Caenorhabditis elegans: one gene and its partner. The protein of the gene in region 1 interacts with the protein of each later gene in a biochemical or structural test. Each region holds a gene or a part of one and is shown on either strand. Other genes may lie near its edges.

Evidence for each region.
Region 2: the proteins of nlp-64 (region 1) and npr-32 interact in a test that uses a peptide from one of them, tested with the Caenorhabditis elegans proteins (one large-scale study listed by BioGRID).

Annotation. Positions count from the first base shown.
Region 1 is NC_003284.9:303,814-318,926, reverse strand, and holds nlp-64 (Neuropeptide-Like Protein), read left to right. Parts: upstream 1-7,615; 5' UTR 7,616-7,663; coding exon 7,664-7,764; intron 7,765-9,911; coding exon 9,912-10,065; 3' UTR 10,066-10,165; downstream 10,166-15,113. Other genes in the region: M02E1.4 (uncharacterized protein), read right to left, coding at 4,300-4,506, 5,400-5,475, 5,581-5,651; gcp-2.1 (Glutamate carboxypeptidase 2 homolog), read right to left, coding at 10,696-10,812, 10,857-10,983, 11,028-11,312, 11,900-12,268, 12,606-12,750, 13,077-13,258, 13,700-13,793, 13,840-13,951 and 3 more.
Region 2 is NC_003282.8:17,218,657-17,236,338, forward strand, and holds npr-32 (G-protein coupled receptors family 1 profile domain-containing protein), read right to left. Parts: upstream 12,403-17,682; 5' UTR 12,401-12,402; coding exon 12,261-12,400; intron 11,788-12,260; coding exon 11,681-11,787; intron 11,551-11,680; exon of another isoform or gene 11,530-11,550; intron 11,340-11,529; exon of another isoform or gene 11,319-11,339; intron 11,135-11,318; coding exon 11,069-11,134; intron 10,980-11,068; coding exon 10,841-10,979; intron 10,736-10,840; exon of another isoform or gene 10,715-10,735; intron 10,340-10,714; exon of another isoform or gene 10,319-10,339; intron 10,160-10,318; coding exon 10,002-10,159; intron 9,974-10,001; exon of another isoform or gene 9,953-9,973; intron 9,819-9,952; coding exon 9,700-9,818; intron 9,681-9,699; exon of another isoform or gene 9,657-9,680; intron 9,449-9,656; exon of another isoform or gene 9,428-9,448; intron 9,349-9,427; coding exon 9,259-9,348; intron 9,254-9,258; exon of another isoform or gene 9,233-9,253; intron 8,996-9,232; exon of another isoform or gene 8,971-8,995; intron 8,848-8,970; coding exon 8,698-8,847; intron 8,337-8,697; coding exon 8,200-8,336; exon of another isoform or gene 8,179-8,199; intron 7,805-8,178; exon of another isoform or gene 7,780-7,804; and 9 more. Other genes in the region: Y116A8B.4 (Ovule protein), read left to right, coding at 5,123-5,191, 5,364-5,481, 6,240-6,331.

The DNA of each region.
Region 1 (15,113 bases):
GAACCGATGTTGGGCCCATACTGCGATACGATCGGGCGGTTCTTGCTCTATGGAATACTTGGGTGATGATGTGCAGTTCTTACGGTGTAGAGCATCACATGAAGAAGCAACTCCTATTCAAAGCTATCGCCACCACCTGCATAATCACCAAGCAACAGCAAGGAGCAGCAAAAGGACGACCGTAAGACGTAAGATTTTGTTTGTCTTTAACATTTTTGATTCAAAAATTCGAAATTTAGTTCTCAAAAATCAAAGATTCCAAAAAATTGGAATCAATTTTTTTTTTGCCAAACCCGAATTTTTCTTTTAAAAAAATCCTGAATAAAAATTTCTGAAAATTCAGGATTTACAAAAAAGCCAAGAGCTAAAGATTTCAGTGGATTCATTCGGTCGGGTATTCCGGAATGGCTCCGGCCACAAAACTGTGCCTTACAAAACTGTGTTTTCCGCAACCATCACACGGTTTCGAAATGGAAAACATCGTTTTGCAAGGCACGATTTTGTGGGCGGAGCTAATCCGGAATACCCCGACCGAATGAACCGCCCCGGAATTCTTCCCCGGAGGCCCAAAAGGCCTTCTGATGAAGTGGGGGGAGAGCTGACCGCGTGCTCTTCTACTTCCCAGGAGCAAACTTTTCGAATATGCGGCCCCGTGTGAAGAACTCAGAATCATTATTTCCGGTAATTAAAAAAGTGCTTTTTTACAGAACAGAAGAGAAAAAAAAAATCATTATACCAAGCCAGGCCGGAGGCCTGATATGCGATTACTCTTAGATAAGTTTTATTTAGAAAGCTTTTATTATTTTCAGTTTTCTAAAACAATCCCCATTCCCGAAGGGCTGGGGGGCCCACAGGCGTTCACGATTTTCCAAAAAGTAGATATGTTATTCACTCGAACCTAATAACCAGGTTTGAGGGCCGCAGGCCCGAACACTCTTGGAAACTATGGGCTGGCTTTGATCCTATTCTAAGCAGATATGTTATTCACTCAAGCCTAATAACCAGGTTTGAGTGCCGCAGGCCCGAACACTCTTGAAAACTGTGGGCTGGCTTTAATCCTATTCCAAGCAGAGCAGGCCGTATTCATGAGTTTTCCTTTTCCTTCACCGTTTTTTGTAGTTCACAGTGATGATTGAAAACACGCTTATTTTATTGAATACATTCAAATTATTCTTGAACAAAATCTCAGCCTAAGTTATTCGTACAGTGCCGGTCCTGGAGCAATGAATCAAAGTTTAAAGGCGAAGCCTCAAACCTGAATAGTCAAGTTTTGTAAACATATACCCCACTCCTGAAATAATTTCAAAGAGATCTCGAATAACCCGTTAACAGGTTCGAGGCGAAGCCGAGAACCTGCGCCAGCTACCTTGCTAATAACTTAGAGCGAATTAACCCTATCCCCATTCCCGAAGGGCTGGCGGGCCCATAGGCCCGCTAGTCTTTCTCGATTTTAAAACCAGGGGTTTCAGTTGTTTCTATTTTTTCTCCGTCACTCTCTCACAACTCTTTTCCGCCGGTTCGAGTTTTTCCGCAAGTAGATTTTTCCGCCGGTTCGAGTTTTTCCGCAGGTAGATTCTTTCCGTCGGTTCGATTATTTCCGTTGGTATATTTTTCCCGCCGGTAGATTTTTCCGCCGGATCGAGTTTTTCCGCAAGTAGATTCTTTCCGCCGATTCAATTTTTTCCGCAAATAGATTTTTCCGCCGGTTCGAGTTTTTTCGCAGGTAGATTCTTTCCGTCGGTTCGATTATTTCCGTTGGTATATTTTTCCCGCCGGTAGATTTTTCCGCCGGTAGATTTTTCCGCCGATTCAATTTTTCCGCTATACGCTATACGCTATACTCTATACGCTATACGCTATACGCTATAAGCTATAAGCTATACGCTATACGCTATACGCTATACGCTATGCGCTATACACTATACGCTATACGCTATACGCTATACGCTATACCTTTTTCAACTCTCCACCACGGGAAAATTTTTTGCGAATTTTTTCATCCCAAAAAAAAGGAAAAAAATAATGATGTTCAACTCTCCACCACGGGAAAATTTTTTGCGAATTTTTTCATCCCAAAAATAAAGGAAAAAAAACACAATGACCATTAATATAATAGAACATACGCAGAGAAACATTTGTTCAAAATAGTAATGGGTATTTGTGTAGTATACCCCAAAACTGCTCACAATTTTAAAAATTTTACCCTGTATTCTATATCAGGTTTAGGATTAAAGGTGGAGTGCGCCCAATGGGGAAATTGCTGAAATTTAAAAAAAAACTGAAAATGCATAAAACTCTGAAATTACGCGATCCGACGACGACGAGCCTGAAAATTAATAAACATTTTGCATTTTTCTTGTTTATTTCTTTCATTTTTCGATTAAAAACCCCCAAAAACGAAGAAAATCAGTGAAGTAATGAAAATAAATAAAACAAATTATTGAAAATAATGCAAGCGCGCTCCAACGAACGAGTTCAATTGGCGGAAATTCAAACAGGAATTAGGGGAAAACTGAGATTTTTTCAATTTTCAAAAAATCATATAAAATCTAGAAAATTTAAAAAAATTTTTTTTTATCATGATATTCGGTCATTGTGATTCCATAGGCGTGTTTTAAAGCAATTTCCCGACAGGGTGTAGTCCACCTTTAAAGTTGGGAAAGCAAAATAAATGGCTCTGATCAATTCAAAATTGTCACCGAAGCTGAAACTTATTAGTGAGACTTTATAACTTTTGGATTTAAGATAGTTTGTTATTTTAGAAAAAGTTGCAATTTTTACAGCCGTAAACCGTATTTTCCTCTTATAAGTCTTATACATCTAGGATCAAAAATTATTCCTGTAGCTTCTATTCATTTTGTACTCTAATGTACTAATAAGTTTACACCGTTTAGATATGTATTTTATTAATTCATTTTTATACGATTAGTCATGTCAGGTTAACCGTACTTACTAAAAAAAACTTATTTTGAAACAATTGTTTTTTATTTTTTGTATGCCATTAGATTTACTTTGAAAATAAAGTGTTAAAAATACAACTGAAAAATTAGATTTATATAGGTTACACATTCTATGGATACTTATCTTAAACTTCAACGTTAAAAAAAATAGTGAATCGGTTGAAAATCACATAGCAAATCATCAAAAGAAACAACCATATATCATTGATTGAATGAAGAGAGAAGTAGATTAAAAAGATGAAGTAGATGTGGTACAAGAATTTGATTGATGTGTTGATGTGTAGAAACGGCAGAAATGTGTTGCTAAGAGTTCACATGTTCAAATAGTCATTCTCTAACAAATTAAGGGTTTTTATTCTACCGCCAGACTTTAAAACGAGACAAGTGGCAATTTAAAGTTCTCTATGAAGATATTTCTACTTGATCTGAAATTGTTTCAGTGAATTTTTTAACTACTTTGGAGGCCTATGCAATTACTCCAAAAAAACGTTTTTTTTTGCAAACTTTCATTGTTTTTTTTGAACGTTTAGAAGTATGTTAACATTCTGGGAGATTTTGGAAAAATTCACTCCACTCGGTCCAAAAAATTTCAGATTTTCTTCAAAACAAAAATAAAAATTTCCAAAAATTTCCTAAAATGTTTACCTACTCCTAAACGTTACAAAAACATTAAAAGTTTGCAAAAAAATTTTGAAACAAATCTACAGGTCCTCAAAAAAGTGAAATGCACTGAAACATTTTCAGTTCGATATTTATCGAGGTTGAGAGTGGAACTTTGCTGCTTAAGGTTTTTTTCAATTTTCGATTTTTATGCCCATTTTTTAATAAACCTTATTATAACGATTAAGATCTAAAATCCAAAAAAAAATTGGCTTTGAGATAAATCAATGAAGTGATTTAAAATTTTGTTTAATTGAATTTTGTTTGAAAGCTGAAATTTGCCATTGAAGTATAAACTTTTTAAAAATTGACCAATAATTATTGAAAGACACAAAACAAATATGAATAACAGTCAATTTGTAAGTTCAGAACTCAGAAACAAAAGGTTCACAATTTTTTGTAACATAAGTAAAAAGGATGAATTAGCAAACATTCATAAAGCATGGGCTTTTAAAACCAAGAAATAATCATACTTGGTCCATACATAGAATTAATGGTTTTTATAAAAAATCAAGTTCCTAAAACCTTGTTTTTTGTAAAACGTTCGATTTAAGCGATGAAGTTATTTATTCGATTATTTCAAAAACAATATTTTGAAATTCAGCACTTCAATAAAAAAGTACCCATAAGTTTGAAAATTATTTAAAAAATGACATTACAAATTTACAATAAAGAAATTTTAAGAAAAGGTCAAATATTTTCCACCTTCTGTCAGCACTATTTTTTTATATCTCAAATGTGGAGGCACATAATCACAATGGAAAATGTGCTGAAATTTTTGATATGTTCGTTCACGGTACATGAACCAATATAAATTCCATGATGCTTGACTTCTCAGAGGTGCAGCTTCATATTTATTGTTAGCATCCCATTTTTCCAGTTGTTCCTGAGAAATTAACAGTTTTACTCAATTAAAAAATGATATTAAATTATTGAGAATTGTAGTACATGTTTTAATACTTATCAAACCATAAAAATGAGTTTGTTTAAAATTGGGATTTTCGCTTTTTTATGTTCTAGAACGTTTTTTACGTAAACTCGTCGCTTTAGCGAATATTTTCAAGATGTTTTTAAATTTCCATTTTATAAATTCACATATTTTAGAAATTTATTAAAAATGATCACACTAAGCATGCACTCCTACATTAAGTTTTCAGACGAGCCCGCTTACGCTGTTGACTTTAATGTATATATATATATTTTTTTCAATAAGAATTTTTACTGGAAGCTTGAACAAAATCTATTAAAATTTTTTTGAAAAATTTGACAGTTTAAATACTTTAATGTGCAATAAAGAATCAGACAACGCTCGGCTTCTCGAATTTCGATCTAATGTTTTTCAGTTTATTTTATCAGTAAAATCGAGGCCAATTTTCATGTTTTTAGTATGAATGCATAGGTGAACATTTTGAAAGCTTTTCAAAAAGTTCAATTTTTTGAATGATTCTGAGTTTTTTCACCCGAGTTAATCAAGAAACTTTCAGATTTTTGCGTCTGCTTTGAAGGAATTTGATGACACCGAAATCGGGATCCAACTAAGTGATATATTTCGACATTTCATCGATTCCGCACACCACAATGTTTGGCTCGCAGTGCGCGTGGCGCGCAGTTGTACCAAAAAATAACCAAACAAAATGGGGTGCTGAACCCGCGAGATGTCGGGATATATCACTTGATCGGGGTTTTGACTACATCCATGAAAACAACGCTCAAGTAACTTAAATTTGGAAAAGTTGTTCGTACACGCCACGCAAAACTAAAATCGAGTTAGTAACTTACTATTTTTGCATCATTCGTCAAACATTTACTCATTTTATAATCAATATATGACTCGAAATACTCAGTTCGTTGAATCCTGAAACAATGGAACAAGTACTTGGAATAAATGCGCTAAAGCATCGTCACTGGAAATTTTTTAAAAACATATTGATTTTATTAATGTGAAAGTAAATAAACTCACAAGTAGTTTGCTAAAACAGCAAAAGTGAGAGTAACAAGGCAAATGTCAGATACTGTCTTCCAGTAAACCATAACTGAAATAGAATTTTGTTTGAAAATTTGTTAAAGTTTGAATAACAAGAAGAAAAGTTATGTGTCTTTCGAATTTGTTGTTGAAATAATTTTCAACTGAAACATCATATTTTATATAAAAACACAACAGTTGGTCCACTTGTTTTTTGTGATAATTGTTCATAAAAAACGACGCGTCGTACTGATAACAAGAGTTGGGTAGCAGGCAATCATTGTACCTTGGTACTCATATATGTGGACAAGCAACAGAAAAGCGCTATGCAGTGTAACGTAACAAGCACAAGACAGTGTGTTTCTAACTTGATTAGAGCGTATTTTCAATTTGCATTATTAATTCTTAAATTTGAACTTGAGCATATGTATTAAGGATCCGGACCAGGGCTGTGCAGCATCCGAGATTTTCGGCAACCGGCAATTGCCGAAGTTGCCGAACCCTGAAAATTTCAGCTTGGTTGCCGGTTACCGCACAGCCCTGATTCATACTGTGAATTCATAATTCTATTGATTGCTCACCGAGAATTCTGAAAATTAGAGAATATAGGTGATCAAACGTGAACTTTTATTTAAAAACAGTTTCGTCTTTTTCTGATGTCTCTAAGCCATATAAACCCAATATATCACTTTTTTCAGTCGAAATCGTATTTTTTACTAGATAACATATAAAAATTTTATTTTGTTTATTTTTACTAGTTAATTGGTCCAAACAGTGTTTATTATGACAAAAGAAAAACGCAACGAACAACAATTTATAAAAACATTACTAAAAAAAACTGTTAAAATACTATCACGATTGTAACCCAGCTGTTGATAACAGGAAGATAAAAGTGTTGTCAGAAAAAAAGTGGTTTCATGTGACAAAACACACGGTTTCTTGCTACAAACTTTAGTCAATGTGGTTTCTACACAATAATCTAGAGATAACATATTTTCTTGCCCTAGATGGGAAAATTTTTTGCGAATTTTCTCATCCCAAAAAAAAGGAAAAAAATCCCATTGATTTGTCTACATAGGGCATCGAAAAGCACCCAATATTTAGAGAACAGAAGATTTTGAGAATTACTGCCTTCAGAAATTGACAATTTTCTCATTGATTTGTCTACAAAGGGCATCGAAAAGCACCCAATATTTAGAGAACAGGAGATTTTGAGAATTACTGCTTTCAGAAATTGACAATTTTCCCATTGGATGGTCTACATAGGGCATCGAAAAGCACCCAATATTTAAAGAACAGAAGATTTTGAGAATTACTGCCTTCAGAAATTGACAATTTTCTCATTGATTTGTCTACAAAGGGCATCGAAAAGCACCCAATATTTAGAGAACAGAAGATTTTGAGAATTACTGCCTTCAGAAATTGACAATTTTCCCATTGGATGGTCTACATAGGGCATCGAAAAGCACCCAATATTTAGAGAACAGAAGATTTTGAGAATTACTGCCTTCAGAAATTGACAATTTTCTCATTGATTTGTCTACAAAGGGCATCGAAAAGCACCCAATATTTAGAGAACAGGAGATTTTGAGAATTACTGCCTTCAGAAATTGACAATTTTCCCATTGGATGGTCTACATAGGGCATCGAAAAGCACCCAATATTTAGAGAACAGAAGATTTTGAGAATTACTGCCTTCAGAAATTGACAATTTTCTCATTGATTTGTCTACAAAGGGCATCGAAAAGCACCCAATATTTAGAGAACAGAAGATTTTGAGAATTACTGCCGAAGTTGCGGAACTCTAAAAATTTTGGAAACCGGCAACTTGGTTGTCGGTTGCCAGTTCAAAGATAGTTCGAAAGTGGAGCGCAATTGGAAGTCACAAGCCGCTCGTTTTTTTCAATATAATATCCGTGAATTTTTCCAGATACTTTAAAAATAATGATGTCACTATGCCTTTCTCCGCTCACATCAAAATACCAGAGACTCCGCCCCAAGGCGTCAGGATTTCTTGCTCATTCACATAGCTTTTTCAAGCTCTCCTCGTTTCACTTGTGTGTCTATATTCCAATCTAAAATGATGGCTCAAAAAACGCTGATTATTGCTGTTATGTTGGTTTGCTCCATTTTGCAGCCAATGCTTGCACTGGGATCCCTGACTCCGTCTGCCGCATTCAGGTTACGATTTTTTCAACAAAAAAAAGAAGATGAATCTATAAACATTATTTATAAAATGCACCTTAACTGTTCAAAACACAATTTAAAATTACTGCAGCTCTAATATAAGTTCACAGTTACGGTGCAGAATGTTCTGTTGCAAATTATGTTGTAAATATTGGTGGGACCCACTTATAAAAAACGTATGCTTCTAAGGTTGATCAATTATTAAGCACCAAGTGAACAAAGTTTACATTTTTCTTTTTTTGTTTCAGTTGTTGAAATAGGGCTGGCAAACACTAATTTCTACCCTTGTCGCAAAATTGTATAGGACATGTTTTGAAAACGGTTGAATTTTTGCGTCGAATTAAATTTGAGCCTGTCATTGTTTTTATTCGTCGTTTTTCAGTGTATTCTTGCCGAATATTTGAAAAAAATGGTCAATAAAAGGGCACATTTTTAATAAAAACCAACTGTACAAGCGTATTAGGTAAATTTTATTATGTCAGGCTTGGCCTAGTTTAAATGAGTCATTTTTCTATTTTATGCTTGTACATTTGCTTTCTAATCAGATATTTTAATTTATTCTTACTATTTCTACATGAAAAATCAATAAGTGGTACAAAAGAAAAAGTAGCATGCCATGCCAACTTTCATGACAACTGAACAGAGTTTTGTCTTGTTTTTTCTTACTACAGACTGGGAACATAGCAAAAACAATTAAATTCACCACCTCAAGGTATTTTGTTTTTCAAAAGTTAAGAAAACATTACCTATATTTTTCAACTGCTACAAAATTCTGATCTATGTACTTTAAATTTCTTAACAAAAACACATGCAAGAAAGCATTTTTCTATTAACAATTGTTCCCACTCTAATGCGAAAATGCAAAACAAGAAATGCAAAATGTAGCCAATAAATTCCTAATAAAAAAGAATTGCATGTTTCGCAAGCATCAGCCATTGTTGATATTGTACAGCAATTAATGAAATTAATTATTTTTGCATGCTCGTTTTTCCTGGTTTTTTATGCTGCTTCATTAACGAATTGCTAGAAAACATAATTAACTCTTATCTACCATATTTTGAGAGCACAACACCTTGCCAGGAGGAACATTAGTGTAAGGAAAAGTGCTTGTAGTAGTAACCTTGAGATTTGGGCTGTGCGGCTTTTTTTCGGCGCATCCCAATATTTCATTTATACGCTTCAAGCCAATGAGCCGAGAGGCGAGAGACAAATCATTCGGCTCTCGGCGCATTGCAAATGGTATGGAATGTTGTGTACACTTTTTTCAAGTTTCATTTTTTTTAAATGAAAAGCTTATTGCTCTAGCTGTTCAACTAGTATAATCATTCGCAAACTCTTTCTTGCTAAAACACTGAAAAAAAGGAATATTCAGATGTGCCGAGAAAAGAGCCGCAAAGCCCAGCTTGAGATGCGATTCAATTGTTAAAATGCACAATCTGAAGGGTTTTCACGTGGCTTTCTGGAAAGAAAAAAAAAATTATGAAAATTGTTCTGCAGTCAAAAACTATGTTTCCGAAGTGGACAACATTTTTTCCGAGAGTAGCTTATACGTTTGCTAATTTATTTTGATATTTTGCAGAGATTTGGTTTTATAATGCAAGTTGTTCATTATTGCAGAACATAAAAACGTTATCTTACTCAACAAATGTTTTTTTGACAACTGCCAATTTTCATATTGCCTTTTACAAACTGGAAAACTGTTGGTACTCCCTTCCAAATACAAAACATGTTGAAACGTAAAAACTGGTACATATAATTTGGTACAACATTAAACATATAATTTCCAGTTACATGAAGTCCTTTTTTCACGAATTTTTGAGAATCCTCACTTTAAAAAAGGGAATGAAGTCATGAGTAGAACCCAATTGCATTTCCTATCCCCCGCAATGTAGTTTCTTTTCACTTCTATTCTACAACACAATTTAGGCAAGATCTGTTGCGGGTTTTTCATGAAGCGAATAAATTTTGTTCGTAGATGAAACGGCTGGATACTACATACGTTCTTAAGGTTGAACAGGGTTTAAGGCATGAATAGTGAGTGTTATAAAAGAGATGAATCTTTTATGTTGTCTCTTTTTTTAAACTTTAATTGAATTTTGAACTGTTGAAAACTTGTTTAATTTATAGTACATACTTTCCAGAGCAAACATGCAACAGCGAGAACGCTCGCCGAACACCTTGTTTTATATGGATGGCGCTTCGAAACAATATGGCGACGAGATTAAGGACCCAATCTACAAACGTTTCAAGCCTTGTTACTACTCACCAATTCAATGTCTCATCAAAAGAAAGTAGGATATTGTAAGCTATTGTCACAATTTTGTTCTAAAAGCTTTTATATGTTAAGACGTTCCGCCACATTCCATTTTAAGACGAATGAAGTGATAATCTGTTGAAAATATTTGTTGTCTATTACCCAAGTGTTTATCTAATTGCGACTTTTCCATATCCGATCACAATGCGCTCAGTGTGTGAGTCGCGGTGTCCACATTGTGCATAATTTTATTTTCAATGTGCCCACATTCTGCTGCGCCCCTGTAAATTGACTGTGATACGATTCCTTACAGGTCCCATTGATAGAATCATTATTTCAATTTTTAGGCGTTGTACCGTAATGAGGTGTTCTCGCGGGACTCAAACAAAAGCCCTAACTTTTACTATTTACCAAACTGAGAAGTTATCTCAAAATAACATTATAATCAATTGTGTGGAAAGTGTGGTGAAGCACGAAAACACTTCCTCAAATTTTTTGTAATATATTTCCGATATTTCATAATTTGTTTGATCCTATTATGTTGAATTGTTCCAGCTATCTGGAATGCTCTGAGCCCAATCTTCAAGCGTTACATGTTAAAACTATTTGGTACTTCATTTTTAGAGATTCAGTTTTATAATGTGAATTGTTCATTATTACAGTAAAACCCATCAAATAACATCACGTAGAGTGTTTACAACGCAAATAACAGAGTACTGGACAATGGAGATTTGGTTGATTATTTCCCTCAAGCCTTTTTTGGTTGGATTCAAGTCGTAACTGTTGATCTGAATGAAGTTTTCTTTAGCATAAATTATATTATATCACTAACCGCATTCTGTACTCCTGCCATTAAAGAACTCGAGTATGAATCAGAATCGCTGACTGAAAACAGGACATGTCTAGCTGAGGGATTGTGCATTGAAACGCCACGGGGGTTGATGAAGCATCTTTCCGTGCTGAAAACATAATGTTTTTTTTTAAATATGATAAAGTGGCAAACCTCTTTAATCTCTCATTGACCGCATTCACGTGTTTCGGGTCGTATGGATTCTGAGAGAAGCTGTGTTGTGTAAAATGGATGGTTTCTTGGAATTTTTTTGACATTGTAAGTAAATCTTGAGCACTTTTTGAGAGAAGTGCATACTGTGTGCGTATATCTTCGAAATCGCTTCTCGAAACATTTATTCCGGAGATTGTTGTTTTCAGTTGTGGGAGATAGGTTTTCAGCATGACTGACGCAAAATGTGTGGTATTCATTGGGAGAATTACATCATCCGCAAACGTCCTGAAAAAAGTTCAGTTCTATTAAACCCTTAATTTTTATCAATATTCGGAAACTGAACATTTTGCATTGGAAATTATTTTTATATGCGGATTCAAGATATTAAAAAAAAAAAACCTCCAGTTCCCATGTTTTCTTCAATTTATTATCAAAACTGATCACGCACAGTCTAAATCTTAAAAGGTTGACCGCGTCCCTGGGATTTTTTAAAATTTTCCTAGAAAATCTCATTTTTTGACTTTTTTCAAAAAAAAAACAAACAAGTGACATAGAAACCGGGTGGTTATTAGCTCAATTTTATCTCGGTTTTCCTATTTTAATTAGAATCGAAATCTTTATTTTAACTAATTTCTCACATTTTAAGGCATTAAAGCTTAACGAGAAGCTCACAAATAACCTATCACGTATTCTAAAATAGTAGTGCCAATATATGAGTTTATATCTAAGTTATAGCTTGACTCATCAAATTAGTCAGATAGTGAAGTTTCAAAAATAGCCCCACATGTCAATAAAAAACAGTAAAGGGGGCCATTTTTCAATAAAAATTGCCAAAAACTGAATTAAAAAAATTTAGCTCGAAAAAAATTCACTTCGCCAACTCAGCCCAATACTGCCCAATTGCTTTGTGCACTGATAAGTTGTCTGTATCCAATAGATGAATGTTGGAAAACGGCGTCTCGTACATTGTATGGTACAGTGGATACGTGTCCCATGTTGTGTAGTTTTTGAAAGTGAAGTTGATCACCGGAACACCAGCAAAATTCAAAAATGGCGCGTGATCTGATCCGCCGCCGGGAACTCTTATTTTTGGAACACCCGCTTTCTTATCAGGAAACACTTTCATCCACGTGTCATAGAGCGTTTTTCTTCCGCGAGATCTCTCACGTTTTGATGGATTTTCCACTTGTTTTGATGCTTCAATGACGGCGTGCTCGAGAATCGGAACTGTGTCGACGTGCCTAAAATTCACATCAATTCACTTGAAAAGTATGATTTCACTCGAGCGAGTAAAAAGGAAATTGTATGAGAGCCGGTTAGGGGATGGAGTATTGAAAAAAAAAACACATTTTTCAAAACAAGTTCTGTTATTAAAATGTATAAAATGCCAGTTAGATATTTAAAAATAACTCCTATGTTCAAAACTTGTTGAAATAAAATATTGGTGTTTTCAGATCATTTCAACTTGTTTGAGTTATTTTAAAGACGAATTTGTTCAGTCATATCTGAGCAGTCAATGGTGCACATTTTTTAGGCACTGTACACCGTCAGTAATTGTTTAAATAATATAAACCTTACAGACTTATGTTTCCTTGAATACAATCCATGTTAATATAGACCACAGCTCTTTTCTGCAAAATATTTACAAATTCTTCGACGAATTCTGTTGATCCAATAAGTCCAAACTCTTCGGCATCCCATGCGTTGAATACGATAGTGCGAGCTAAAAAATTAGAATAACATCGTATCGTCATTTCTAGCAAAATAAGGGCAAATCAAAAACTGAGATGTTTTATCTACCGAGCTTTTTGAAAAAAAAAACATCATTTCGAATACAAGAGTAGATCAAAATACGTTTTGGGAATTAGTTCTGATATCTCAAGAGTTGGCGCACAGAGCAAAAAGTTCAAAACTGACCGCCCGGGCACTTAAATTATTCGGTATGCTGTCTCAGACACCAATATTGTTTATTCATGAAAAAGTTCAAATATGCCTGAAACCCTCTCAAACAAAGGGGTCTCAAAGCGGTGCATCATAAAAATTTCAGACCTGGTTTCCAACTGGTTTCGTTAATAGTTTGCATCATGGCTCTCGCAACCTCCGCCAACACAGCTGTTCCAGAATTAGGATCAATTGATCCATAGACCCATGCGTCGAAATGGTTTCCAAGCATAATATAGCTATCGGGCTCTTCAGACCCACGAATATATCCAATAACATTTCTAATTCGTCTGAAAAGGTGCTATTTACTTTTGATTAGTGTTGATGTGTGCCAATTATTTTCGGCAGTGCTACAAACGATTTTATTTGACAAATAGTGTCAAAATATAGAAAATCACTTCATCTGAAAACTAGAAATTTGGTTATATTAAACATCAGAGAAAGGCGCCCAAAGCCAGCGTTTAAGCAGTTTTTCTAGCGTTCCAGCCAAAAAAAAAAGACTATGCACAGGTATATCAAGTGAATTTCTATATTTTAAAACTATTTTTGCAATTGGACCTTTAATTTTTTAATTCCTGGTACTTTTGTAGAAATACAAAATGTTTGTCTCTACTAGTTTCGTTTAGCTCTTCTCTTCTTTTCCGAAAGTGGTGACGTCATTTTTCATACGCTCAACGCTTTCATTTTGTGTCTCTTCAACATGCAGAAATCAAATTTCCAAACTAACTCACTTTGTCCTCAGCTCACTGTGCACATTGATGGACAATTTCTCTCCATTCACAAAGCCTGGACCAAGCTTGTAAGTGAGGTTTCCACCGACAAATCCTGAAGTCTATCAAAATATGACATTATTTTTTGGAGAGGGAACAACCTTGCCAGTCCGATGGAGCCGGCCGACCGGATAATCGTTTCAGAATTTCATATCCTGTTGTATAGGAGACAGGGAGAACTGGTATTGAAGGTAGAACGCCGTCTTCTTTAGCCTAAAAATGTAATAACAAAATCTGTATGATTTATTTTCATCAAAAATGTTCAAAAACCAAAGGAGACTTTTTTCAAGTTTTGTCAATTTTTTGAGATTTTCAAGGTATCATCATGAAATTTAGGAAGAATAAGTTATTTTTAAACCGCTGAAAGTACTCAAATCAATGTAGTTTTCATTAATTTATTTTGAAAATGAACATTTAATCCAAACGTGAAATTTAATTATATCTTTAGGTTTTGAAAACCACTAGTCATAAGCCTAATATAGCCATTAACTTTTTTGGGCAGGTTTACTACACAAGTACCTAACACCTACCTCTTCAATAGTTCTTCCTTTGAAAAGTTCTTTTTTGGAAGGATAGTAAGGAGAGAGTGCATCTCCATCTCCATGCATAAGGGATCCTCTCTGAACACCCTCATTAGGCATCCAAATTTTTTTTGGATAAACATTCTCTGAAAAAAAAACTGCTCTTTAAATTTGAATCTTGAACTGCTCAACTTGGAAATGTACAGCTTCACTTCACCACTACAAACCTGATTCTACACCATCCTGAGCAACATCCTGTGTATCCGAAAACAGTATAGCTCCAATCGCACCCGCCTGCTGTGCTTTATGAATTTTGTCACCCCGGAAACCATGACCGTATCTCATCAGAGCAATTTTTCCTTTAATATCTACACCCATTAGCTTCAAGTTCTTGAAATCGTTGGCTGTTCCGTGATTAATGTAGACGACGTCTGCAGAAGCGGATCCATTGCCGGCATATGCAAGCCACTGGTGCCCAGCATCTGAATTTTACAAGTTTAAGAAAAGCTTTCAGGACTCCGCCAAAATGTGTTTTTAGCACAGTCGCTGAGGGTGACACGACTTTTGACCACTTTGAAACCGAAACGAAAATATTTCAGATTATTCTTTGTCTGATTTATTTAATTATATTGTCGATTTTATAAAGTTTTGTGGTAGGTCATAATTTTTATCTCAACCCATTTAACAGGTCACTCACACTTTCCTGATTGCTCGTCTGGTATAATAACTGGACTAACTCCCTTGCTCTTGAATACTTCTTTTCCAGCCGACGACTTTATTATAACAGAATTTGGATTTTCAAAGTCAGGATACGACAGCAAAACTTCATACGGTAATGTGTGAACATCTTCCAA
Region 2 (17,682 bases), on another chromosome or scaffold:
TATGCGGTGCGATGGGTGAGGGAGCACTCTCTTATAATACAGCAAAGAGTTGGTTTCAAAAGTTCAAGAACGGCGACTTCAGTCTCGAAGAAATAGAACGTTCTGGGCGACCGGTAGAGTTAAATGAAGAAGACCTGGTGAAGCTGGTGGAGGAAGAGCCTCGTCTTAGTCTTCGTGAAATGGAAGAGAAGCTTGAGTGTTGTCATAGCACAATTGCACGTCACTTGGGTCGCCTTGGTTTTACTTCAAAACTTGGAACTTGGGTGCCTCATGAACTTTCGGCATCACAGAAGCTCACTCGGGTCAACGTTTGTACTCAACTTCTAACTTTTCGTCGAAAGTTCGATTGGCTGAACAATCTGGTTACTGGAGATGAGAAGTGGGTGCTCTATGTTAACCATTCCAGAAAACGTCAATGGCTTCCGATCGGTGAGAAAGGAATACCGACGCCAAAGCCTGATCTTCACCCAAAAAAGATTATGATCTGTGTCTGGTGGGGTGTTCAAGGACCCGTGCACTGGGAATTGTTGCCAACTAATAAAACTATCACTGCTGATTACTATTGTGCCCAATTGGACCGAGTTGCAGAAAAGACCAACGGAAAATATGAAAAACTATATTTTCTTCACGATAATGCTAGGCCTCATGTCGCCAAGAAGACTTTCCAAAAGCTGCAAGATCTTGGTTGGACTGTTTTACCGCATCCACCATATTCTCCAGATCTTGCACCAACCGACTACCATTTGTTCTTGTCTCTCAGTGACTACATGCGCGACAAGCAATTCGACGACGAAGAGCATCTCAAAACTGAACTCTCCACTTTCTTCTCATCGCGTTCGCCGGATTTCTTCTCCCGTGGCATCATGATGTTACCTAGTAAATGGCAACAAGTGGTGGACACTAATGGTGAATACTTGTGTGAATAGTACTACTTGTCGCTTGAGAGAAATAAATTTTTTTCAAAAAAAAAATAGTACAAAAACTTATGGGACAACCTGATATAATGCCAAATTATTTTTTTCCATACAATATTTCATACATTTGACGCATCTTTACAGCCAGACGTGGCTAATACAAACATCAACAATTTGTACGAGAAGATTTTCAAAATATTTAAAAATTAGGTCGTAACACGGAACTGTCTTTTACGATTCGCTTCTCCACCTGCTCAATAGGTCTCCAAACCAAACAACAACAGAGACACAAAACTTGGTACATCACACCTTTATAGTGTGTAAATGTGCAATGTCTAGAAATAGGCGCAACCTCCTTCGGGGACGGTGCTGGGTCAACTGATAGGCCTCTCGACTGCCATCCAGTTATTCTATCACTTTTGCAGGGCGACTGGTGGTTGCCCTTTCTTTCTTCTTCTGCTTTTCTTTGTATTTCAATCATATTAAACAAGTGAGTTTGGAATTCAAAAATTTTGATATCTTAATTAATATAAAACATGTTCCAGACAATTGGAGTGCCATGTTGTTCCGATTTGTGTAGATGATTAGAATTTTTCATCTCGAAGTTATTCTAAAATTTTTCAGAAGAATTTGGTCCAATGGTAAATATTTCTGCTTTAACATTCATATAATGTAAAATAGTTTTTTTTAGCTACAACTTGAAACAATAGGATTCAATAAAAACGAAGATTTTGATAAACTCCCAACTTTGGAGCAATTCTTCCTTTGCGGCCAAAATATGTGGACATGAAAATCCGACCAGAAATTGAGGAGAAGTGGTTAGTTTTTTTTTTCGAATAAGATAGTTTGTAAAATTTATCTTTTCTTTCAGGTTGTTCTTATTGGATCATTTGTTCACGATATAAATTAAATCAGAATATCTTCCACTGAAACCCGCCTATGCGGTAACTTATCACAAAGCACAAGGTCAGACCTAGGATTTGGTGTATGTTCAATCAATTTATGTTGTATTGGATATAAATAAATGTTTTGTTGCACCTAGAAACCCTAGTAACATGTCATCTGGTTACGCCCTCTGGACACGCCCATGACACCAAGAAGAAGAAAGAAGAGAAGAGCAAGGTAGTGTGGTGGTGATGATGGTTCCTGAGTGGTGATGGTATGAGCTCTCATTCTATTCTATCTTTATTCTATCTTTTACATATTAATCCTCATTATTCTTTATATTCTTTAACTTCCAATAATAAACTCATAAGTAACATAACCGCTACACCATGTTAGTAAAATATATAAAGAACTCATAAGAACCCTGTGGGTATAATAGTTTTAATAAGTTTCTGACTTCTGAGGTTCAAGATACACAGCAATATTTCTGTACGGGTAATTGAGCGCCACCCTGTAGGATTTTTCAAATAGATTCTGGGCCTTTTTTCAGTCCAGTAGTCAATTCAAAAACTAGGATTACATTAAAATAATGTGAAGCAGTTTTTGATTTTTTCGTGTTAAAACTTTTCTAGAAGAAATTTGTGAAACTCTTTTTCCAGACTAGAAAAACGTGAAGCAACTGTAAAAGTGTAAATGTGAAAATTTTAAGTACTTCAAATGAAAATTCTACGGAACCGGGACGAGATAGCAATAAAAAATCCATTTGTAAGAAATCAATTTGTTTATTAAATTTTTATTCAAGCATTTTATTATTAATCCTTTAATAATCCTTTAATAAAAAATCAAATTGATAATAAACAAGTGAGACAGTGATTTTTTTTCTTTTTTTTCAAATATTTTTATTTTTTATTTTTCAGGTTTGAGATAATTTTTGAAAACATTCTCGGTAGGCGTATGCGCACATTCCGCGCACTTTCCTCGCACATTCAGCGCACATTGCCCTTGGTGTGGTCATTTTACCCACCGCTAGCCTTTTGAGCACATTCCGCGCACTTTCCGCGCCGATTCTGCGCACATTGGTTTTTGTGTGTTTTTTCATTCAGAAATCATGCATTCTGCGCACATTCCGCGCACTTTCCGAGCACATTCAGCGCACATTGACTTAGATAATCTACAACTATTGCTCAATTTCTGCTTTCTATGAATATTTTAACGTTGTTTAATTTTTATGTCTGTCCATATTTACTAGTACTTCTGATATCTGGAAATAATAGTCAAGAGAAAAGACAGAAATAGTCGTAAAATGCCAACAATGTCACTGTAGAGTTCCAATATGTTTTCCCAAATATCATATTTGAGCAACAGGTTGTAACGTCGTCTATCGTGATTGATTTACAACTACATAATGTCCCACAATTTAATAATGTCCCACATTTTAAGATAAAAAACTATGGTAACTGTCAAATTTTTGTTTAAAAAATTGAAAATGTGGCTCCTCTTCCTAAACAGTTTCATTCAAAATAACTTCAAATAAAGAAAAACTAAATACAATCAGCTTATCTAACAATTTTCGTAAGTCTAACTTACCATAGTATATGTATCTTTTTGACCTGAATGAATAATCAATTGTTATGTAGCTGTTGTAAAACTAAATTCACTAAAAGGTCCTGGGAAGAAATCTAGAATAAATTGCCCACTTAATCAGAGATATCTAAAATTATCAAAAAATATAAAACATGTTCTGAAATGATTACTCACTAGTAGGGCTGTACAAATCGGCGTCCGGTCGTCCGATTTTGACACCACCGGACGCACTGCGTCCTGTTTTGGGGTAGGTTTCCACGGCGGCCGACAATTTCCGAGTTTCACCACTCACTATTCTTAATCAGCAATTTTATAGTGAGTGGCGAAACTCGGAAATTGTCGGCCGTCGTGGATAGCTACCCCCAACCGGACGCATGTGCGTCCGGTTCGGACGACCGGACGTCCGGTTGTACAGCCCTACTCACTAGTAAAATAATTGCATTAATTTTTTCACTACAGCAAAAAATGCAAACGCTTAAAAACGGTGAGGTGATTTTTCATTGAAAAACGGAAGATTCTAAAATTAGAGCGAGACCACTTTTCTCTTCTATTATTTAAGTTAAACTCAAGTTTTTGACAACTTTTTTCATTATGAAAAGTTGAATTCACATTCTTCCATAAATATGTCATTGAAAAAAAAATTCAAAAGCTAATGACAAATCCTTTATTAGTGAATTAATGTGGCAAAAATGCTTCAACGTTAGTTCTATGTGGTTTCTCCATTGAATTTCACATGTGCTTCTATTTATGGTGCGTTATCTGCTATTAACATCGCACGCGTTATGGCCGGCTCAACAGGTAAGACTTCAGACTTTCAGGGAAAACATCACAGGTTCAATTCGCAGCAAGGACACTGGCAATCAAAATACACTGCAAGCGAAAGGCAGTGAAACACAACCACTCTGCATCATGCGCACATTCCGCGCACATTGCGTTTTGGTGTTCCTCATTTTCTAGCTGCCCTGCATTATGCGCACATTCCGCGCACATTCTGAGCAGATTCCGCGCACTTTCCGATCGTATTAAAAACAAATGTATTAAACCGCTCGGAAAGTGCGCGGAATGTGCGCATACGCCTACCGAATTGATCGAATGTATTCATTTGATGTATTTTTATGTTTACTTTTCCATATTTTTTATTCAGTTTTATGTTTGTCTTTTACTCCCGTCGTTCTCTTTTTCACCCCTTTTTCTGTTTACACAGTCTCTTTTTCACCTCCTTCTCTATTTTTCAGTATCACTCAAACCACTCACCTTTTCATTTTTAAAACCTTTTTTGAGTTGGAAATTTAATCTTTCCATTACTTTCTCACGTCTTAATAACGGTTTTTCTAATTCAAAATTTTTTAAAAAGTCAAATTACAAAAATTACAGTTTCAAAAATGATTAAAAACCAAACTGAAAATTTGGGAATTGCTGAAATCGTAATTTCTTCTGGAAATATCAAATTTTCTTTTCCAGACTCGTTTTTATTTGACTATGCTTGGCAATTTAAAATAGTGCAAAAAAAGGTGTTTTTTTTAATTGTTTCAAAAAATTTGATTAAAAAAAATTGTACTGTTTCAAAACAAATTTAAATATCAAATTAAAATGTTGCCAATTGTTTCAACGTACATAACTTCCTTTGAATTTTTGTTTGAATTATATTGTTTTTTTTTAATTTAAAGACGCACGCTTTTTCATGATATCAAGATCGTCATTTAATTTTTTAAAAAGGTCTTCGAATTTTTTCAGGAACGATGCAATCTGAAAAAGAGGCTCCATATTTTGGAATGTATGGAAATAATTACTTGAGTCCAAGATATATTGTAAGTTACTTATTACTGGGATGGCTTAGTTGTTTTTGGGTCCAAAACCCAACAAAAGAAGTGTAATGTTGCCCTTGTCATTTTTGTGGATAAATTTTCTTTGATAATCTCAGAAATTTGCAAAATATGAATTTTTTAGCAAGACAATAATTTTAAAATAATCAGTTTCCAGGTTACCTCTCCAACTCCAACTTGCTTGGTAGAAAGCGGACATCCAGAATATTCAAATTCTACCTTCAACTCTCCGGGGTCTTCCAATGAAAGTCAACGACCAAATTATTATCAAATTCGTGAGTTATTTTCAAAAAATTCTAAAAACTTTTAAAAACAGTTAATAACATTTTCAGTTTCATAGAATTTTCTTTAAAATTTTTCTGAATATTTTTTGATCGAAATAAGATTGCATTAGCAAAATTAAAGTGAAATCTGAACGTTTTCTGAAACAGTGAACAAATATAGTTTAACACTCTCGGAACCATTATTTCCGATATAATATTGCACAATTATGAGTTGAATTTTTTTTTGCAATTTTGAAAGGCAGTATTCTAAATTAATTGCAATAATACAACAAAATTTGTGGCATTACATTTATATAATAAACCTATGTAGGAGTGCAAGTTTTTATTCGGGCAACGTAATGATTTGGTAGCGCATTTCTTGCCTCCCCCTTGAATCTTATGTATGATCTCATTTCCTCACTTATTTGTACATGATGTCATATTTATTTATTATTATTTTTTTTTCTCATCAATTTTTCTTGGAAATCATTTGTATCATCTGACCTCGGACATGTTCCAATCTGGTCACCTTATCATTCACATTTCTACCTCATCTCATTTTTATTCCTCATTTTGCTCTTAATTTTCAAGCCAAGAAATAGTGAATAAATAAATAAAAAAATAAATGATGAGCTCTATTACAACTTTGTATTGGAATTTAAAAAAATTCATGGAGAACACGATTGATTGCGTATTAACCACTATAACTGTTCTTAAAAATACAATGAAACCGTAAAAAAATTTCCAAGTGTTAAAAATATCGAATTCAGAACCACCATCGCCCGGAGAGATGGTCATTGTTCGCACGACTACAGTAACCCGCAACACAACATCAATTACACCAGTTTCTTCAACTTTTTGATAAGTCTTTGTTAGAAATATTAAAAAATAAATTATTTCAGTTTTCGCTTTATTTCCGCGCGAAAATTTCATAGTGGAAAATTTTTATTTTGATTGTTTCAGATATGTTATTTTTTTTAAAACGGAAAAACTCAACAGAGATTAATATAAATTGTTCTCAAAAATTGAACATTTACACAGTTTTGTAAAAATCAATATTTGTTATCTTTGTCTACAAACGAACTTACCTGTCTCAAGCCTACCTGCCTATTGCTTATTTTTAGAAAGTTGGCGAGGCAGGCGTAGGTTGTTTGGAGAACATCTAGTTTTGTGTGAATATACTGTTTATTCTAACGATATGAAATTCTGTCAAAAATTGTTTTTTTTTCTGTTTCAAAATCGATTTAACTATAATGAAATTTCAAAAAGTAAGCTAGGAAAACTGAAAACGCATATATTTTTGACACTGCAAATACACGTGAATTTTTTTGGATAGAAACAAATAAAATTTTAATGTTTTTTCTCACAATCAGATTTGGAAAGTAAAAAAATTAATTTAAAAAAAGGGAAATTCGTTTCCATTAGTTGTTATTCTTTGAACAGAATATTTTTACATATTCCAGTCTAGCAACTAACATCTTTTGAAACAGTATTATTATTTTTTTTATTTTATCTAGTTACGAAAATAATTAGACATTCAAACCGACAGCTACAGAAATTCAGAAAAAAATTAAGTACAAGTAATATAATGATTGAATTGAGTTGTTATCTAATTTTAAATTAATTGAAAACTCTCCACTGCTCCCGGTATCTTCAATTTTGTTTTGAAATATTTTTGAAACAGTCTTATTTTTCATATTTAAAATTGACTGTTTTTAGAAGTTGGTAAATGTTCAAGAGCTCACAACCTACAATCAAATTGTTGAATTAAACAAAATTTTTAGCAGATTTCTAATGGATGTCTGAAATACATTATTTTAAAATTGTCTTTAAACAGTAGAAATTTGAGAAAAGTTTATTATCAAAAATATAGTTTCCAGTAGAATGTCTACAAGTAATCGTCCTTATCCTCGTCTGTCGATGATGACGTGTTTTCAATCTGAATATTGAGAGTTGTTCTGGATTTTTCCATAGTCTTCAGAAAAAAAATCTGAACTTTTTTATTCTAAAACTCACGTGAATATTTTTATCCGCCACCAGTATTATTCGTTTGCGGTGTAAAATGCTTGCAATTATGTTTTGTTGGAAATTTGAGAGCCTGGAATATTTCAAAATTCAAAAATTGTATTCATAGCACAAGTGGGTAACTCACCTGTTGAAAATACCGGCGTCACTGTCGCCGAGTTTCGAGAAAACTGTAGCTGAAGCGTCAGAAGGACGGGATTGCATGGAAAGTCTGAGATATAGAAATGTGTCATCATAAATAGAACTCGGTGTAGTATTATTTATTCACACTCTAATAAAATCAATTGTATCAATTGCGTTCTCTCAATAAAGCTTGCAAAAATTTAACGGAATTTGTGTTTTCTGTGAAACAGAAATATCATTATTCAAAAAAAATTATTAACGTTGGAAAAATAATACTTGAAAATACTCAGAAACGGTAAAAAAAATTAGATTCAAAAAATTTGTTTCTTGAGCTAAATCACAACAAACTTTAAACAGGAGTGAAACTTGTAAAAATGAAAAAAAAATTGAGAGCTTTTCAAATACTAGGTCGAGAAAACCAAATTTCCACAAAAAAAGTCAATTATTTTAAGTTAGGTGAAACTTCCGACAAACAGGATCTAATTTTTTTAAATGTTTCAATACAATTTTTTTTCTGTTTCAGGTAGACTTCATATAGTTTTACAAATTTTTTTAAATTAGCTCATGATGAATCATATGTACCTCGCCTGATTTAATCGTTGCTGTTGCTCATGACCTAACGAGTGTCGTTTTCTGTGCATTGCCATGACGTGTTGGGAACGAAGTTCCCGATTGATGTATGCATAGAGAACTGGATTAGCTGCCGAGTTGAAACATACCTGGAATGTTTTTCTGATTTTTTGCAGTATTTTATTTATTTGTATGGCCTAAAATGGCCCACATATAAGAAACCTTCAAAATGTTTCCATTTACAGAAACTTTTATTTTTATTTTAATGTAGCAGGTGGAACAGGTGTCCACAACAGGAGCAAAAGCATAACTTAAAGTAGAAATTCAGGAAACAAGGCAATCAAAAAGCAAAAAAAAAACTAGAAATAAAAAGTATCACATTGTTTTTTTTTGTGTTTTTTCTTGTTAAAACATTTCAACTTTTTGAATGTACTATTTTGATTCAACTTGTTTCTAGAATTTTCATTCGAAATATTTTCATATTTTAATTCCCAATAATTTTTGCCTTACCAACAAATGCGCCACAAAAAACATTGCCGAAAGTGCTGGAGTCATCCATGAAACGGCGATCAAATTGAATTGTGACATGATATTCAGTGTCCATTGAGGTGTCCAACACAGGAAGTAGAAAAGAATCACAGCCACTATTCGTTTTGTGACCTAGAAATTTGAATTTTGAGTGAGAAGGAAGTGCTCGAATTTTTCATGAAAATGCCAAAAATTTAATTTGAAAAATTACTGTTTCAAATATTTGTTGAAAAACTCAACTGTGTACTTCATTACTCGTTGAACACTATATGTTTTGAAAATTGACTTGAAACTTTAATATTATTTTGTTTAAAATTGATGTCTCACTAAATATGACTCGAAATTTTTCAACGAACGATGTTCTGATATCTCACTAGTGAGTGTTGATTATCTGACCCCAATCTGGCAAAAATCCAAAATTGGATATTTAGGAAACTGTTGCTATGAATTTTTGTTTAATAAAAGCAACACTGTTTTAGAGTTTTAATTTATAACAGTACACAATTTTGAATTTCAATGGGCGTACAGTTTGAACTTCCTTACCTTCTTGACCCTATTCGAGCTTCCATCCGGTTTGCTGATTCCTCGCGCACCTCGGATATTTCGAGATGATTTTTGAAGAGCATAAATTACCTGAAAGGTCGATATTTTAGAAAAAAAATTTCGCATGGTTCAGGATGTCAATAAATTTTGATCACAAAAGAATCTGCGATCAGATCAAAAATTTTTAAAGCAATTTTTTTAAACTTTGACCTTATCGCTAAAATTGTTTGAAACACTAAAAACTAATGTTTTCCCTATCAAATAAAAAAAATTGACTGTTTCAAAAATAAGTTATGTAGATAGAACATTTGTGATGAACAGTTCTTCTTCTCTTTTTTAATAATAAAGTTTACTGTTTCAACAGGTCAATTTAATTTTATCTGTTTAATTTCTAACATTGGTTTATGGACTTAACTTCAGAACATTTATAAAAATTATCACCTGTACGTAGAATATTATAATTAAAAATGCGGGGGCGGCAAATCCGATGACAAATGTGTAGAGAGTAAACGTGGCATCCGCATCGAACATGCATTTTGACATTGTTGTGCCAGCAAGGTCTGAATAATGATAAAACTGAATTTCAAACGATGCTCCGATATTCCGCAATGTCACTAGATTATCCAATCGTAAATATTTCTATTGAAAATTGTTTCAGAGTCTCTATTTAAAAATCAACAACTTGTTGTTTCAGTCCCGTGACTTTATGATGTTTTTGAAAAATTCCAATAAAAACCACCTACCCGACGCTGCCAGTTCTTCCGTACCTTCCAACAACGGAACCATTCTCATTTTATCGATTTTAAATACGGCGGCCTCGTAGAGTACTGGTAAAAGGAGTACTGTGGCAAATATGGTACAAGCCAGGAGGACTTTCAATGCGGTTGCATTGCTACGCATTCTGAAAAAAATTAATATGTAATTTGTATTAAGCCTTTGCAGACTTTCTTCTGAGTCTTCGCAATTTTCAAAAATTTTGAAAACAGCCAAAAAAGTTTGCCGTTTCAAAAGAAAAATTTACTTTAATAATTGTTTTGTTGGTTTCAAACGAAAATATAAGATTTTTTGAAGTTCATTCTAATTCGTTTGAAAAAATATTGGACATTTTAATAACTTTCTGAAACAGCTAAAAATCTTGCGTGTATCTTTTTTTAAACTGTAGGCTTTCCAATATTTATTTAAAATGGTTCGCTAATTCGAATTTATAGAAAAAACATTTTGAAAACTCAAAATTTGAATGTCGTGCCGAAATGTTAAATATCACAGATTAAATTTCCCACGAGCATTTATTGCCAAAAATTTCGAATTCAAAATTTCTGCCAAATTTTAAAGTTCTATTTTCGAATAGAACTTGAATAGAACTCGAATAGAATTTGTATTTGTTTCGCTATTTTCAATTTTGAAAAAATACTGTTTCAGAGAATTTACATACTTGAATTCTCACAAAGTAATATATTCGTTATCGGGGTTTCACAAATCTACCCAAGCTCACAAAGCTAGCAGGTCTAGGTAGCCTTGTAGGAATCCAGTCAGTCATATTTTTACTACTTGGAAAACCCAACAAATCGCCCACAAAACTAACTTCATAGATTTAACCGGACTGCAAACTGCCATATACCGGTCCCAACTGAGCACTGTCATCAAAAAAGAGCTCAACAATTTGTTGACACTTTCCCCAAACCAGTACACTTTGCACATTGCCACTCCAAATAGCCATTGTCCTGAAATAAACTTTTTTTTTTGGTTTTCGATTTGTTAAAATCGGCGAAAATTCAATTTTGAAATTCAAAAGATTTGGGATAGGACTCACCTTTCAAAAGATCTACGACCAGAAACGGAAGATGCAGAATTACCAGGAGATCAACAATCGAGAGTCCTGTAAGTTTTTTTGAATTGTTTAGTTTCTGAAACAGAAGAAAAAACTTCAAACTGATGACTGAAAATAGTTCCGCTTTCAAAAAGACATAAATCAAAAACGAAATATTTGCCATTAAGTGGGCGGAGTCTGGATTGACCACTCGCGTATAAATTTTAGTTTAAACATATTGGATTTCAAATATAATTGGCAATGCTTAACTGAAACAATTTTGAATAGATACAACAGGTTTAAAAAATATTTGAAACTGTAACAATTTTTTTGTTTATCAATAGACAACTTAACCGTTAAATGCGAAGAATCTGCACATAAGAGTCTTGATCAAAAACTTATTAGCTACCATTGGCGTGGCCCGGCGTTTATTCTCAACAAGTAGTTCTTTAAAAAATCGAGATAATTTCATTCAAAAGTCCAAAGCGGAAAACTCCAAAAAAATTTTTTGGGAAACTATCATATTGAAACAGAATTTTTTTCAATTTTTTTCAAATTTGTTTTTTTTTGCAAATATTTATTTAATTTTCATTAAAATCTCAACAAAAAACTCACCAAGAACATAAATAAACACATGATTCGTACTGCTCATCATCCGTTTTCCAGCCTGCACGTTCCGCTTCATAGATGTCAAAATGTTGATGATCATGAGAATTACGGTACTGTAAATTTGGGATATAAGGAGTTTCGTTTAGTTTTCAATGCTAAATTTTACCAAGAATCAAAGTAGACTTTTCTCAAATTCAAATGTTCAAAATTAATTTTGTTAGTCTAAAAGAGACAATATTTACCAAATTTGAAGTCGACCAAAAACTGTTTTATCAATAAAATTTCTGAAAACTTGTCTTCAAAAAATTTGGAAAAAAAATTCATACGAAAAATTTTCTGTTTCAAAACAATTTTAAATTTTAACGATGGCTAGTTGTGTTGTGTAGTTTCGAACTTGTCGTTTATTATTTTTGCATAATTTCTAGTGAAATTGCAGACAAAAAACTTGATTTAAAAATTCTCTACTACAAATAGAAAAAATTCTAGCATGAAATAAATATTATGAGTTTGAAATTTAATGCGATTCATAATGTGAATAAGAAAATTTCGCAAATTTTCAATTAATTATTTTTAGTTAACAACTTACCCATTTCCGACTGTTCCAATTATAAAAAGAACCAAATAGGAAATTGCCAAAACCAATTTCAACGTGGTTCTTGACGTGTCATCTTCGTTTGAAACCGCTGGTGGAGTTGTTGTAGTCGAGATAATTGTGGAAATATTCATCTGGAAATGAGAAAATAAAATATTAATGTAAAACTTGAGTTTAAAAATCATTAGATAGGCGTGAAATGAACCGAAAAGTTAAAAAAAAAAGAGCACAAGGTAGACACGCTCGCCTACACGCCTTCTTATAATGTTGAGTGATCTTTTTCAGACTTTGAGAGCCGGTTTTCTAATAATTAATGAAAACCTTTCAACATTTTTTAAAAAATAATTTTGAAACAGTTATTTTTTGGAAAAAAATTAAAAATTAAAGAAAATCCTCTAAAAAATTTTTCAATTTGAAAAGCATTTATCAGAACAAAAAAGAGAATAATGACGGAATGACGTAATTGAATTTCAGCAATTTTCAGACAAAAACATTCATTTTTGCCAAAGATGGGTAGGGGAAATAGGAAGAATAGGCATTGAGTTCTGGAAGTGACACAGAATTTTAATCTGAAAATTTACAAATACGCCTATTTAATTCGAGAAAAAAGTGTGGAAAATCACCAAAATCAACAAGAAAATCATGTTTCAACTTATTTTGGAAATGTCTAAAAGACGTAGGCCGCCAAGAAATCTTGCAGGCACTACCGGTTTAATTTGTTTTTTTTTGTAAATGAAATCTTGCGAAAGTGAAGCATTAAAATTGTGTTAAGATGGCAAAGTTTTGAAAAAATGTCAAGAAAAAAGAAGTTTGGATTTTAAAAAAAGTTTCCAAAATATTAAGATCATTTTTGCCAAAGAAAATCTTAGGGCTGCTCTCAAAAGAGAACAAAGATGAAGGGTGAAGAGATGATAGAACATTTCGTTTTTTTTTTCGATAAAAAATGAATGAAAAAAGAGCCCTCAGGGTAGGGAAAGGAGCTACAAAAATTGAAAAAAAAATTGAGAGCATAAAAATACAAATAAGAAAAAACCAAAACAAAAAATTCTTTAACTATTATTTTGTAGAAAAGCCTGAAATTATTCCATTTTTATAGAAAAGTGCGTACAAACAAATCATACTATTTCTGATTCTGGTCACAAAATCTATCAAGTTAAAAAACCGTCGATTTTTTTTAATTCTGAAATTTTAGTCTGACAATTTATTACCAAATCTAGTACATGAAAAATAACCTATTAAAGTACCTAAAAGAGTGCTAAGTACTTACTTTTGAAAAATGTTGTTCACTTGTAATTTTTTCACCACCAACTAAAAATTAGTCCTTGAAAATTGCTCAAAATTAAAGAAAACCCCCGGAAAACGTAAGTTTTAAAATCAAGAAAGTTCATTTTTGGAACTTTAATTGGCATTCAATTTTTAGCAGAGTCAAATCTCATAACAATATTTTGAAAAACTAAAAAAACCAACATAGTACTAAAAAGGTGTATAACCGAGATCCACCAGACCAAAAAAAGCATATAAAAATGAAAAGGGAATTGTTGTGGTCTTTGGAAAAGGTCAATCATCAGAATTTACGAAAGAAAAAAAGAAAAAGAATAGTAATAAATATATAATCATTGGTACGGGCCCAAAGTAATTATTGGAATTAATGATAGCGTGGCCGAGGTGTAAAGAATTGGTGGCCGAAGTGTTTAGATTCATTTTCTCATTTAATTTATGTAATTTTTTTCGGCTCACGGCACGTGCCGAGAGCCGGCATTTTGGGGGTGTTTGGCTCTCGGCCGAGGGCCGAAAAAATTGAATTCGGCAAAGCGATTTGATTTTCAACTGAACAATTTGGCGAATTACCTGTGAAGATACTTAGGTCCGGTTGAAATAGTATGAAAATGTCAGATTCCAAATTTTGGAACATAAATTTTCTGTTTCAAAAGTATAACTTAATGAATGAAGGAGTCTAATTATTCGGTTGGATTGCTTCTTTCAACGTTTTCTAACATATTTTTTACCAACGTGGCTATGATTTTTCTTTTCCAATATTTCCAAAAACTGATAAATTTCCCTAAAACAAAGTAATACACAACTAATAGAACATCCAGACACACCTCCCACCCTCACAAATCTAATCCTAATAAAAACTCGTCACTTTGAGCTAGAGCCATCACAAAAGTGTCGTCTCTAAAAATGGCGGGAGGAGAGGCATAACTCGATTTTTCGCCACTACCCCGCCGGTTTAATGAAGTGTGCCAAAAATGGCAACTCTCTCTTCAATTTCCGCTTTTTTCATTCAACGAAAAAGTTTTGGATGAGAGCTTATGGAGAAGGGGGCATTTTAAAAACTTTGTCGAACGACACTCCGGATTTTCAAGCTCCGCCCAAAATTTGCAATGTAGGCACAATATGCCTACCCGCCTACCTATAGGCATGTAATCTAGGAAGGAACTCTACAAAAAAAGACGTCGCGTTATTTTTTTTCAGTGAAAGGAACCTTTCAATTGCTTCGGATTATTAATGTTATGGTGAATCCCACAAACCCAAGAGTTATTGACGAAACAGTAAAAAAATTAGGAACAAAAAATTCTTGAATTTTTTAAATCAGCTTAGAGAACAAAAGTTAGAAGAATAAAGAAAAGCTCTTGGTCAAAAATCCAGCCAAAATCTCATCTTTTTCGCGTGTCTACTCCTGAGAATCTCCTCCTCAAAAGTCCATCATGACTCAAAAGAGCTCTGAGAGCATATAACCAGCACACACCCGTAAATACAAAATCGAGTTAGGTCTTCTCATCTTTAAACACAATTTTCTATAGGGGAATCATCGTCCTGACTTTTTTGAAACGAGAAACTTTTTTTTAACGAAAAATAAATTCGTCATATGGAAGAAATATGTGACCTAAAATCAGGGAAGCTTGTTGCAAAAGTGGGGAAAACTGGAAGAAAAACGTATCCGTTTCTTATGCATTAATTATTAGATTACGTGACAAAAAACGAAGAATTTCACTTTTTCATGAGAATTTTGAAATACATAGGGAAAATATTTAACCTTTAAACCTTTTTCTGATTCTGAAACAACTGTTCCTAAAAACGAAAAAGTGATAATAAAAATCAACATTTATTTATGAATATAGAGAATTTTTGAAACAGTAAATTTTTTTGAAACATTTTTTAGTGGAAGTTTTTAATTTTTTTAGTATCTTTTCAAGAAATGCTCGATTGCAATTGCAAAATAAAAATAGAAAACTTTGAAAATAAAAAGTGGATCATATTACATGAACATCAAACGTTCTGTATATATTGGATTTTTGAAACAGTTTTAAAAAAATTTATGTGCGGTACATAATTTTGAATTTTCGCAGCAATTTTTGATAATTTTTCGAAGTATAAAAAACATTTTGTGCCTAAATACTCCCAGGAAATAAAAACAACTACTCCAAAAAACGAAAAAAAAGGTAATTTTTCAAATTTTTGTTTAAACACACAAGCTGAAATTGAAACGTATTGAAATTGACAAAACCTAAACAAAATTTCCCAGAAGTTTTCACGTTTTCCGTGCACAAATATCCCATAAATACATACATCAGAAACTGCCAAAAAAAAGAAAGAAAGGAAACTGGATATCTGTGAAAAATTATGCAGCTCTTTGTGGTGTGGGAGGAAGAAAAGGGGGCGGGGTCTGCTATTTTTGGGTACTTACATTATGTAGGTTACATTATGAAGAAAAAAATTTATATTTCAAGTTTGAAAGAATTTTGATGTGGAACTGTTGTGTTAAAAAAAGTTTGAAAAAATAATATTTAAAAAATCTGTTTCAGAATTTTTATAGAAACGACAATTTTATTTTATTTCATTCTTCTAGAGTCCAACAATTGTAGAAAAAACGGGAATTTTGTAAAACTCAAATGAAGCAAAAACAGGTGAAAAATTATTTTTGTGTTCAGGTGGAAATTATTGATATTGAAGTTTGGAAAATGCAAAAAAAAACAGGTTCAAATATGTTTTGCAGCAGACTGTTTCAAGGAGTTTAAAAGAAATATAGGCAAACTCGCAATTCATAGAGTCTAAATAATCATTGATTGACTATACAGTTTTCTGTGAATGTAGTTCTATTCGCAAAGTGAACTACATGAAAACCCCAAGTTTAACCTAATACTGGATGAACTTGGAAAAATTTATTTTGGTTGAGATATGGAAGCAGGTGACAAGTGTGATCCTTTTCCATTCTCTTTGAAATTCTACACGGCATTTTTCCACAAATTAAAACATCCATAGAATTGTTTTGAATCTTTTTGGTTTTATTTAATGGTATGCAAACGTTCTTGAAGTATTTTGAAAACATAAATTTTACCGAAGAAGATTGATAATGTGTGAACATAAAAATTGTAATCTTTTTAGAAAAACTGCATAAAATAGCTGAAGTTTGTGACTTTGAAATGGCAGAACTGGTCCTAAAAATAAAATTACTGATTCAAAAAAAATCTAGGATTGAGAAAATTAATGATGCAAAGTGAGGAAAATTACTTATTTTCAAAATGAACTATGAATAGTAGAGTAAAACATCAATGAAATTTGAAAACTACATGAAACGGGGATATTTTTTAAGAAATAAAAAGTAATTTTTTGCAACAGTATAGGCGAAACAGATGCAAAACTTACTTTTCTAGATATATAAAATTGTTCTGAACAATGGAATAGATGGTTCAAATAGAGAGAAACGACGCATGAACAACTTTTCAAAAAATTACTTTTTATATATATATAAATAATTTTGACGGGAATTCATTGGAAACGAACGCAGTTTTTTATCTTCAAACATTAAATTTCTAATTATTTGTTTAATTGGTATGATGTGTTCACTTTTAGAAAAAAACCCGGCACTCCTAAATACATTACTGTCTCAAAGAAAAATTAATTGCTTCATAACATTTTAGTTGTAATGTAGATAATATTTTAGTTGTAATGTAGCTGAAAAGTTCTGCTTTCAATTCCCACTTTGCAAGCATTATGCACATTCCTCGTTGGTTTATAAAAACTGCATGAAGCGGGGGAACATATTGAGAAAAATTTTTTCCAACAGTAGGACCGAACAGGGGGCTCAGATAGCAATTTTTAGCTACATTGAAGTGTAAAAATAGGCTGAAACAATTTTATAAATATAAAACTGAAAAACATTTACTGTTCCAAAAAAGTTGTAAATTTTTTGAAATTTTTTTGGATGTTCGTACACTTTAAGAAGTTTTTGGTCTTTGCTTTCATATACATGTTTGCATCAGTATTTGAGTATTTTAAATAGCACTGCGAAATCCCATTTTTTGTAAAAATTGAAGAAAAAAATTATGGTTCAAAACATAACATACTTTGGAAGAATACCAGTATGTTGAGAAGATGTTTGTTGAATTTTTAGTAGCGCGAGTAATTTTTTAAT